Linked DNA regions of Rattus norvegicus. The protein of the gene in region 3 purifies or fractionates together with the protein of the main gene of each other region. This does not show direct contact. Links are inferred from orthologs where the notes say so. Each region holds a gene or a part of one and is shown on either strand. Other genes may lie near its edges.

The links.
Region 1: the proteins of Clgn (region 3) and Slc12a2 purify together in Homo sapiens (co-immunoprecipitation; 3 studies listed by BioGRID and IntAct, with this or other methods). This does not show direct contact. The link is inferred for Rattus norvegicus from reciprocal best matches to the Homo sapiens genes CLGN and SLC12A2.
Region 2: the proteins of Clgn (region 3) and Tctn2 purify together in Homo sapiens (affinity purification with mass spectrometry; 3 studies listed by BioGRID and IntAct, with this or other methods). This does not show direct contact. The link is inferred for Rattus norvegicus from reciprocal best matches to the Homo sapiens genes CLGN and TCTN2.

The regions. Positions count from the first base shown.
Region 1 is NC_086036.1:53,573,733-53,577,384, reverse strand, and holds part of Slc12a2 (solute carrier family 12 member 2), read right to left. Parts: intron 1,668-3,652; coding exon 1,560-1,667; intron 438-1,559; coding exon 314-437; intron 1-313. UniProt on the Homo sapiens protein: Cation-chloride cotransporter which mediates the electroneutral transport of chloride, potassium and/or sodium ions across the membrane. Plays a vital role in the regulation of ionic balance and cell volume.
Region 2 is NC_086030.1:37,647,496-37,651,147, reverse strand, and holds part of Tctn2 (tectonic-2 precursor), read left to right. Parts: intron 1-345; coding exon 346-457; intron 458-3,062; coding exon 3,063-3,169; intron 3,170-3,652.
Region 3 is NC_086037.1:41,612,603-41,616,254, reverse strand, and holds part of Clgn (calmegin precursor), read left to right. Parts: intron 1-1,442; coding exon 1,443-1,524; intron 1,525-2,615; coding exon 2,616-2,808; intron 2,809-3,498; coding exon 3,499-3,652. UniProt on the Homo sapiens protein: Functions during spermatogenesis as a chaperone for a range of client proteins that are important for sperm adhesion onto the egg zona pellucida and for subsequent penetration of the zona pellucida.

The DNA.
Region 1 (3,652 bases), on a different chromosome or scaffold from region 3:
GACCATCAGGAATTCAAGATTATCTATGGCTGCAATAGCCAGGCTGGGCTACGTGAATCTTAAAAAAAAGGGGTGGGGGGGAGGCAGGAAAGAAAGAATAGGGACAAAAAAAGAAAGAATATAATATTCCTTTTACCCTAATTTTGCACAATGGAATTAAGTTTAATAAGTAATATCAGGTACTACTATTTGCAATATTTTACTTTGATTAGAAACTAATTAATATACATTAATAACTTAATATTCATGATTACAGATAACACTATATCAAAACATACCAAAACCTACATAATATACCATTCATAGAACTAACCAATTAAGATGAATCCAAGTGCAATTAAGAATGTTAAGATGTAACCACGAAGAGGTTCATTATTTTTTCCATAACCTTTCGCAAACATCTGGAAAGCTGGGTAGATATTGTCCTTACATAGAGCCTAACCCAAGGGAAAAAAAATACAAACATTAAAACAAAACACATAAAACTTACGATGTGCAAATCTGCAAACAGTTAAAGTATGTTAACCAAGAATGAAGTCCAAGTCTCTCCTTTCCGATACTATGTTTCCTGTCTCTCGGTGCTGCACCGACAGACTATAAAGGACAAGTGAACAGTTCAGACAGCTGAAGGCTAGATGGTTCCTAACACTGCTAAAGATTTTGTTTGTCTTGCTCCATCCCATGTTAAAACTCTATTTATGAAGAATCGGAGAAGCAGTCATTCAAACAAAGTACAATGAAAAACCCTAAAAGTTGGCATTATGATACAGTGTACCTAAGGCTTTAAGAAAACCAACTCCAAATCTGAAATGAAAATGATTAAAAACCCGAAGTATAAAGTTGAACTACTTTTCTCCCAATCCTAACAGATATTGTCTTAAAAGTCCTATTAGACAACACTGCTATACTTCTTGCTACAAATACAGTATTAAGAGCAAGGCTAGAAAGTCAACACTTATCACTGTCAGATGCTTAATGACCACCATAGGAAGCAACACTCATCCTAGCTATCACGGCCTCTACTACAGTCGCTGCACTATGAGCCACATAAGATAGTCAAGTTGGCATCATGTTAACTGAAACCACTATTTACAGTTCTGATTTAGAGTCTTACGCTGCACTCCTAACTTGACAACCATCCTAAACTTTAATGCTAAGTATGCCAAAAACAAAACCCACCTAATCCCTAAAATATTTTTAATCCCTAAAATATTTATTTTATCATTTTCAATTATCTATGTGTCTGGAGTTACAGCTGATTATGTACACCCAGTGCACATACTGGAAACTGAATCTGGATTCTCTGTGTGAACCTGTACTGCTGAGCCATCTCTCCAGACCCTCCAATCATCCTTCCTAAAGACATTTCAAGGCTGTACCTTGACAGTAGGAAAATGCACAAATGTTTTTAGGGATCTACACAGCATTTATGTAAATAAAATTTACACCAATCTTGATATATGTATATGCAAACAAACACATGAGATTGATAAGGTAATTTATCTGAATTTGAAATATTATTTTAACATCTTCAATAACAATAATATGAAAATATTTACCTGAAATATTTTGGGAGCACTCACAAGAGATGCCAGTGCTGATGAGAGTGTGGCTGAAAAGATACCCGCAGAGATCAGGGGTGCAAATCCTGACACCATGCTCATCACCTTGAATAAATGACAGAACAGAGTAAATACTCACAACTTGAGGTTTCTAATAAAGAAAACTAATACTAGAAATAATCTGATAGGAATCTGGTAATAGCAATGAGAAGTAAATTACAAATTATTAAAATAGGTCTCTGACTTAAAAACCCTTTCCTCATAAATTTTCAAATGCACAAATGACGGAAACTGTGGGTAACGAACTACCAACTACACAACACCAGGTCTCAACCAAACACAACGTGGGCCAATCCCACACCACGTTCCAAAGACTCCTGGCTTTTTAATGCATGAAGGATCAGTCTGTATCTCTTAAGAGGCGAAGACTTTTTGAAAAGTCTAACTACAGCCATTAGTCAGCTTAGTTATCTGAACTTTTCTTCACAGTATCCCTATGTTGTCAGCAATCAAACTACCCCAACTACCCCATTTTCTTGGTCATTTCAAGACAGGTTTGTTTGTTTTAAACAGCTCTCAAAAATGTCTGCTGTTATTTGGGTAATGTGGTTTTCAATATTTGTAATATATGGTCATACTGTTGAATTTTTCTAATTGTTTTTCCTGCCACACTCTGGAGCTCCTATCCTATATCCTGTGATGTGCTGACTCTATCTCTCTATTATGTAACTCATTTCTCTCATCTAGGTTCTAGAACACTGATGGTTAGATCTAGCCAGTAAGTCAGACTGAGGTAAGCTCTTATGAAAGTGTACTCATACATCAAGAGGGTTTATTTGTACGGGCTGTAAAAGTAATGTAGGTATGAAGTTTTTTAAGTACATAACAGTTAAAGGTAAAAATGCCAAGCCAAAAAGATTATGATACAAATTCTATTCTGCTTCTAAATACCTGGGATACAGGAAGTTACAAGCAAAAGACAATTAGTCACACCCTGATAAGTGACGAAGGTTACATGTACATGCAGTATATTGCTTCCCCTGTGCATTGTGCCCAAACATTTCTGCACATGCATGTGCACTCCTCCCACACTCAAGAGTTAGACATGAAAACTTCAGGCTCAATTCTCAGAAGCACTGTCCTTTGCACAAACACATCAGTATCCTATGCTTAGTATCAGAAAATACTGTAGGAAAAGTCAAGTAGGACTTCTGACTTTCCAGTTTATGTTTTCCCTCAGCACTTCTAAAATTTAATGGTGAATAGGAGTAGAAAGGACGTAGTGACACTGACTGAAAATAGGGGCTCCATCACTGTTGTCCACCACATACAGCAGCAAAGATGACAGGCAAGACAGCTGTCCAAATGAAGCGCTGAACGGAAGTAAGGAACGCTAGCCTGACTGCCGAAACGTGCGTAAACACAGGACCAAGTCCAGGACAGACAGAAGTGTAAGAGCTCAGGTGTTAGGAGCTTTGACTTACAGAATGTTTGGAAGGATTAGGAAGTGTGTCCTTGTTGGAAGCCATGAGTTGTTGGGGTGGGCTTTTAGGTTTCAAAAGTCTACCCTAGGCCCAGTGTCTGTCTCTCTCTGCCTGCTACCTGAAGATCAGGAATTAAATCTCTCAGCTACTTCTCTAGCAACATGCCTGCCTGCGTGCCACCCAGATCTTCACCACAATGACAATGACCCATTCTACTTCCCAAACGCTGGGATTACAAGCATGTGACATTTCACCCAGTTTGTGTGGTGCTAAGGACTGAGACCAGGGCTTTGTGAAGGCTAGACAAGCACCTCCCAACAAGCTACATGCCCAGCTCTATTGATCAGTATATCTTAATAGTTTATTTATACATAAACAATAAAGGTACTACTAATTACTAAGAAGCTAAAATTGCTAGAACTATTTTGGAAGAAGTTAATCTGACTTCAAGACTTACTATATATATATACATACATTCACACATACACACACACACACACACACACACACACACACACACACACACACACAACGTGAATCAGGACTGACACCGATGAACAAATACACCCAAAGCTCAATGGAACAGAGCAGACAGAAACCAGAAAC
Region 2 (3,652 bases), on a different chromosome or scaffold from region 3:
CAGCACTTAAAAGGTGGAGGCAGGAGGATCAGGAGATCAGGCCATCCTCAGCTACATAATCAATCAATTCAGGCCAGCCTGGGCTATGTGAGACCTCCTCTCTCTCTCTCTCTCTCTCTCTCTCTCTCTCTCTCTCCATACACACACACACACACACACACACACACACACACACACACGCACACACTTTTTGTTTGTTTGAAACAGGGTCTTCAGGTTGGCCTTAAACCATCATGCCCCTGCCTCAGCCTCTTGAGTGCTGCTGAGAGAGTTTTCAGGAAGTCCTTGAAGTAAATCTTTACTTGTATTTAGCAGAACAGTGAGGGGCTCATCCTTCTCTTGCAGCTGGAAGGGGCCTGTGCACATCAGCCGCCCTCAGACCTGTTTTGTTTGGAGAAGATGCCTCCTCTGGCTGCCTTTTGGAAGTTGGGATTAAGGAGAACTGTACACAACTCAGGTGAGTCTCTCGTTGGTTTGGTTTGTGGGAGACAAGGTCTCCCAGAGCCAAGAAGATCCTCAACTCTTGAGTCCTCCTGTCTCCACCTCCCCAAAGCTGGCTCCTGTGAGATTCACTGGTGAATTTTCTTCCATTTTTGAGTGGTCTCCCTAAAATTAATTTTCTGTGTGAATGTTAAAGACAAGACTGAAAAGTTATGGTGAATGGCGTGGACGTGATAGCTAGTGATAGTTAGTGGACACACGCAGTGGATGTGATAGATGGTGGACATGCGGTGGACATCATAGTAAGTGGTGGATACACACACATTTGTTTTTAACATTTATTTATGAAATGATTATTGCGTGCATGTGTGCAGTGTAAGAACAGAGGCACATGTATGCCGTGTGTGTGTGTGTGTGTGTGTGTGTGTGTGTGTGTGTGTGTGTGTCTTACCCTGTTTTAAGTTGGTGTAAAATTCCCATGATGTAATTAATCATTCAGAAGTAGTGACTCAGGCAGACAGAGTAGCACACACCACCGTCCCAGCACTCTAGAGGCTGAGGCAGGGTTGCTGTGCTACTTAGGGTCATCTTGGGCTGCAGATAACACCTTGTCTCAACATAAAATCAAAAGGTCTGTCGGGATGACTCGGCAGGGAAAGGCATGTGTTGCCAAGCCTGATGACCTGAGTTCAAGACCATGACTCATGTGGTAAAAGAAAACTGGCTCGGGGGCTGGAGAGATGGCTCAGCAGTTAAGAGCACCGACTGCTCTTTCAGAGGTCCTGAGTTCAATTCCCAGCAACTACATGGTGGCTCACAACCATCTGTAATGGGATCCGATGTCCTCTTCTGGTGTGTCTGAGGACAGCGACAGTGTACTCATATACATAAAATAAATAAATCTTTAAAAAAAGAAAGGAAGGAAAACTGACTCACTCAAGTTGACCTTTGACCTCCCCAAGTATGCCATGGCACAGGCATACATGCACACACACACAAATGGCTTAAAAGGCTTAAGACAAGAAAAGGTGAACTGTCCAGTGTCATTGAGGCCGTTCACGGTGTTATGAAAGGCTTTATCTAGTTCTAAAACATTTTCATCACCCAAGGTGGAAATCTGTATGTGTAAGTAGTTACTCCCCCAGCTCTCCTCTCCACAGCCCTGCTTTCTGCCTCTGTGGCTTTGCCTGCTCTGGACATTCAAATGGGGTCACACCTATGTCACAGCGTGTGCCAGAACTCCATCCTTTTCCATGGTGACTCTTCGCCTGCCTCTGCGTGTCTGTTTATATCACACCTTGTTCATCCGCCTCGGTTGATGGACGTCCGGGTTCCCCATCGTTTGGCTGTGTGTACTGCCACACGCAGGCCGGTGCAGGTTTCAGTGTGAATGTGCTTCCTGTTCTTTTCAGTCTGTGCCCCTGGGAATCAAAGTGCCAGGTCATCTGGTAATTCCCTTTTCTGTCTGCAGAACCCACTTTAGTACCATGGTGGCACCTTTTGCCATCCTCAGCAGAGTGGGACGGACGGCTCCAGGTTTTCCACAGCCTCCCAAGAGTTGTTTTTTTTTTTTTTTCTTTTTTTTACATTTATCTTTATTTCGTGGGAGGTTGGGTGAACATAAATGTGCTTCACACGCGGAGGTCAGAGGACAACTCTTGGGAGCCAGCGCTCTCTCTGGCCACGTCGTATGGTCTAGAAATCCAGCTCAGGTTGTTAGGCCTGCATAAGAACTCCTCCATCCGCTGAGCCACCTCACTGGCCCCTCCCAGCCTACTTCCCCCCTTAAGATTCATTCATTTTATGGTGTGAGCGTCTTACCTGCAGGTATGCATCTCTGTGCAGCCTGTGCAGACAGTGCTTGCAAAGGTCAGAAGAGGTTATCAGATGCCCTCGAACTGGAGTCCCAGATGGGCGTGAGCTGTCAAGTGGGTGCCAGGAATTGAACTCTAGCCATGAGGGCTGGGTGAGACGGCAGCCATTGTTGGCACCGGGCAAGGAGCAAGCGTGCATTTAAAAATGACACACTACGGGGTTGGGGATTTAGCTCAGTGGTAGAGCACTTGCCTAGCAAGCGCAAGGCCCTGGGTTCGGTCCCCAGCTCAGAAAAAAAGAAAAAAAAAGGGAGGGGGTTGGGGATTTGGCTCAGTGCAAGCGCAAGGCCCTGGGTTCGGTACCCAGCTCCGAAAAAAAGAAAAAAAAAAAATGACACACTACGAACCCAAATCTGGAAGAGCAGCAAGCATTCCTTTTATTTGTTTTGTTTGTTTGTTTGTTTGTTGTTTTTCCATGACAGAGTTTTTCTGTGTAGCCCTGACCATCCTGGAACTTGATCTGTAGACCAGGCTGGCCCCAAACTCATACACCTCCTCCTTCCTCTGCCTCCCAAGTGCAAGGATTATAGGCCTGAGCCACCACGTCAGGCTACCAGTAAGTATTCTTAACTCCTGAGCCATCTCTCCAGCGTACACCCACACACATGCATCCTGTTTTTACCGGCAGTCGCTCCAGCAGATTTCTATCTGGGCTCCCAGCAAAGACAGGTGGCCACTCTTGGAAAAGGACTTAAGGACCAAGCCCGCTGGCCACCGGCTGAGAAGTGTTATCTTCCTTCTTTGCAGGGAGAATGTCCTTCAGAGACTAGATTTGCTGATCCAGGCAACGCACGTTGCGAGGAGAGGCAACTCGGACTACGGTGATCTGAGCGATGGCTGGCTGGAGGTCATACGTGAGTCACCCTGGCCATGCGTAGGGGTCACTGATGTTGAGCATTTTGCCCAGGGCTCTCTGTAGGCAGGAATCTTTCTTTCCCCAGCTCTCATGGCTCCTGCTCGAAGAGGAAACTATCTCGAGCTTCCTCTTGCTGACAGTCCCAGCTTGAAGACGTACGGGTCACGTCAGTTTGCACTTCTATTTTGAGCACCCAAGAATATCGGCATCGAGAGTTAACCCGTAGTTTATAGAGAGTGAAAACGTGGTGCTGAGTGAAAGGGGCCCAGACACAGACCACCCAAAACTTCCACTCCATTTGTGTGCAAGGCCCAGAATGGACAGATGTGCACGGAAAGCAGAGTCATGAGTGCTAAGAACCAGGGAGGCACTCTTGGGACCTGGAGAGTTCTATACGGGAAAATTTGAAAGTAAATCTGGGGCTGAGATGTGGTTCCGCCTAGTGTCTAGAGTGTGGAGAGCTGTGGGTTTGAACCCTAGC
Region 3 (3,652 bases):
TCATATTTAAATTCCTGAAAATGGTAATCTTTAAACCACACCGGGTGTCATTTCTTCTGTTTTGTTCAAAGATATGAGCCCCACACAGAAACTGTCAAGTTGTATTTTAAGTAAAACTTGACACTTTAGGGGAAACAAATAAATAAATGCTTTTTAAAATTCTTTTTGCTAAATTCCATAACAGAATTGACATTTTCCAGCCTTTATTTCTGTATCATTGAAATCACCTTAAGTTCTTCAAGTGGGTGAGGGCCAAGCCCCATGCCAAATGCTGCTCACAAAGGATGTCAGTGGGGCAGGCAGAGAGCTTAAGAAGCAGTTTGGGGCTTTCCTACTTGAGAGGGTGGGCTTGGAGCACCCTCGTGTGGACAGCTTGGGAAATACAGCACAGGATTGGTTTGCTAGTTACATATAAATCAGTCCCCGCCCCTCTTTCTGAACCGAGTGTAGACCAATTGGGTTCAAGCTGGCAGGTTGTATCTTGTTTTTCATTTCGTCCATGAAATTGCTTGGGAAGCGTTTATAACTCTACCATTCATTAAATGACCAGCATTGTGCAGTTTCTTTGTTTTTGTTACTTCACTTAACAAAACTGTTTTTGTTTTTGTTTTTGTTTTTTCTTTTACTGTTTTTCGCATTAGTCACATGGATTTCCCTCATGTGACTCATCAATTCATCTGACACCTGGGCATCTGCTCGATTATCCTAGCAATATTATTTCTGTAAGACACGACCTAAAACAGAACAAAGTTGCTGGAGACTTGTCGTATGTGGTAAATCTATGAGAGACTCATAGCTGTCACACTAGACAGTAACATTTCCCTTTCTCACAGCCATTTCGGTGTGAAAACCCAATTACTGAGTGAAAATCTGAAACCTCTTTGCTAGAGAAATTCAATAAACCAAAACTATCGAGCACAGTTCAGATGGAGTTGAGTTAAAATGAAAATTAGCGTTGGGTTCTGAATCTCCAAGGTTATTATTAGGCTCTGAGAGACGGGATATAGCTAGGTTTATACAGAACACGGAGGCCAGGGATTGGCTCAGCAGTAGAGTGTTTGCTTAGCTTGTGCAAGGCCCTGAGTTTGACACCGGGCCACGGAGACTGTAGGAGAATTACTGCATCAGAATTCAAGGTTTCCTGTTGCGTTTTAGTTAAAAATCTCTTTATCCCCCATGTTAACACTTTGCTGAGAAAATCATGGAGATGAGATGGCTGGTTTCCTCCAGTAATTATTTCTAAATATTTTAACCTCATAACTTGACTTGTGGATTAGATGAGCATTTCTGCTCTCCGTATTCTTCATTGAGTGAGTGTGGTGGTAATGTAAAATTATTCTGCTTAGGGCGGAGAGTAATTCGTTACACTCTAAGTTATACTTTACACTAAGCAATGAGTAATGTTTACTTTATCAGCAGTGTGGTTCTTTCCCCCCATTTAGATATGAAGTAAATTTTCAAGATGGTATTGACTGTGGAGGCGCCTACGTTAAGCTGCTAGCAGACACTGGTGACTTGATTCTGGTATGACATTTTACTATCTAAGAACACCTTGTTAGAGTCAGTAAGTATTCTAAGGACTGGTTGACAACTGAAAATCCCATTTTCATTGTCTTTTTCTCAGTCTGAGTTTACATGGCCTTTACAGTCTGCTGTCCAGATCCATTCACAGTCGCACTGTGTGATGGAGACATTGGTTCTGTGCTCTTTGGTAACAATAACTGTGCTCTATCTGGGGGTAGAAGTCACGGGTGCTTAGAGATGCTCAAATGACAGCACAAAGCCCACATTAAAAGCCGCTGCTTCCTATGTTGCCAACGCCCAGAAAAGCCCAAAGCAACTTGGGAGAGTTTGGGGACATTTCTTACAGCATTCCACAGTGGGAGGGAGCTCTGTGTTTTGGTTACGATGGCTTCGCTGTGGGCCAGCTCCAAGGCACACAGCAGAACCTGCCTTCTGCACTGGTGGCCGTAGGATCAGGTAAAAGAGGCTGTTTGTAGGATGTAGTGAAGCTCATTTTAGATCTTGGAAGTCTTAGCGGCGGAGTGGCAAAAACAGAGTTGGCTCGAATTCCTTTACGTACTTAGTTGGAGCCAGCATGTCCTCAGAGGCCTTCTAAGGTGGGAACTGTCATCTCCACACTTGAGGCATCATGGGAATGGATCCAGGGGGCTCGGAAGCTCGCTCAGCCACACGAGTGTAGGAACCGCAGTGTATCGAGGACAGCAGAGCCACACTCCGGAGCAGGGTGAAGTCTGGAGCGCCCCTCTGTGTCCGCGCACCTTTGTGTGTTTTTAACTACAGTCTTCCTGAGTAATGACAACGAGGAATCATTTTAGTCTAAGGTCACGAATGCGCCTGCTTCCCCCAGGGACTGCTCATACCTGTGTGCATAAAGCAGTTGCAGTTTTTCTGAGCTCTTACACGCATCCTTAGGAAGGGAGTAGCGTGCGCTTTTCTAAAGTTTTCATTTTGCCATGTCCTTTGTTGTCGTTTGTGTTATTTGGTAAGTTGGCATTTAATATAGTCTGTAAATTCTGCCCACTGGACAGAACAGAGAAAGTCAAAGGCCGCCATGACTCTGGACTAATTGGGAGCATCCTCTCTCTCTGAAGGAAAACTTTTATGATAAAACATCGTATACCATCATGTTTGGACCAGATAAATGTGGAGAAGACTATAAGCTTCATTTAATCTTCAGACACAAACATCCCAAAACCGGAGTTTTTGAAGAAAAGCACGCCAAACCTCCAGATGTGGATCTGAAAGAGTTCTTTACGGACCGGAAGACTCACCTGTATACCCTCGGTACCCATTCATTCATTCATTCATTCATTCATTCATTCAAACGTTCTCGTTTCCATGGAGACGCTGAGGGCCTGTGCTTTCCGGAGAAAGTAAATGTGTCTACCTTTAAGAAGTTTATCTTTGGGGGAAGATAGGTTGTGTCACATAAATGGGGGTGGGAGTGTCAGAAGAGGAGACTGCAGAATGGGAGTTTCTTAGCAGTGCCTCTTCCCTGACCGTGGCCCCTGGGTGGGGTTTTTGTATGAAAATGTACATTTGTAGGAAAATCCACTTTTAAGAGTGGAACTCTCAGGCGGGTCTGAAACAGTGTACATTCTTTGTGATAACACTTGCAAACCTCTGAAGTCTGAGGGGTTTGTCTCACTATGAGGAAGACGGGGCTGTATGCTGTAGCTGTGAAGAGGGACACTTTGGGACCGTGAGTCCCCACCAGGGCCACCTAGCTGTTGGGTAATTTTACCTGTTGAGATAATGGGATTTTTCATTGTTGAAAAAATTGAGTTTAAAATAAATCTTATCTTTATTTTAGAAAATACTGTAGCAAGTGATTTCAGCGAGTTTTGATTCAATACATTGGTTTTTCCTGGTTAGGAGAAAAAAAACTGCCCATAAACTTGGTCATTTTATTATTTTGAAGATTCTATTCCATATGTCGGATACTAATCCTCAAGTGTTTAAATTGTTCTGTAGTGATGAATCCGGATGACACGTTTGAAATATTAATCGATCAGAAAGTTGTGAACCAAGGGACCTTGCTAGAGGACGTGGTCCCACCTATCAATCCACCCAGAGAAATTGATGACCCGAATGACAGAAAGCCAGAGGAGTGGGATGACAGAGCCAA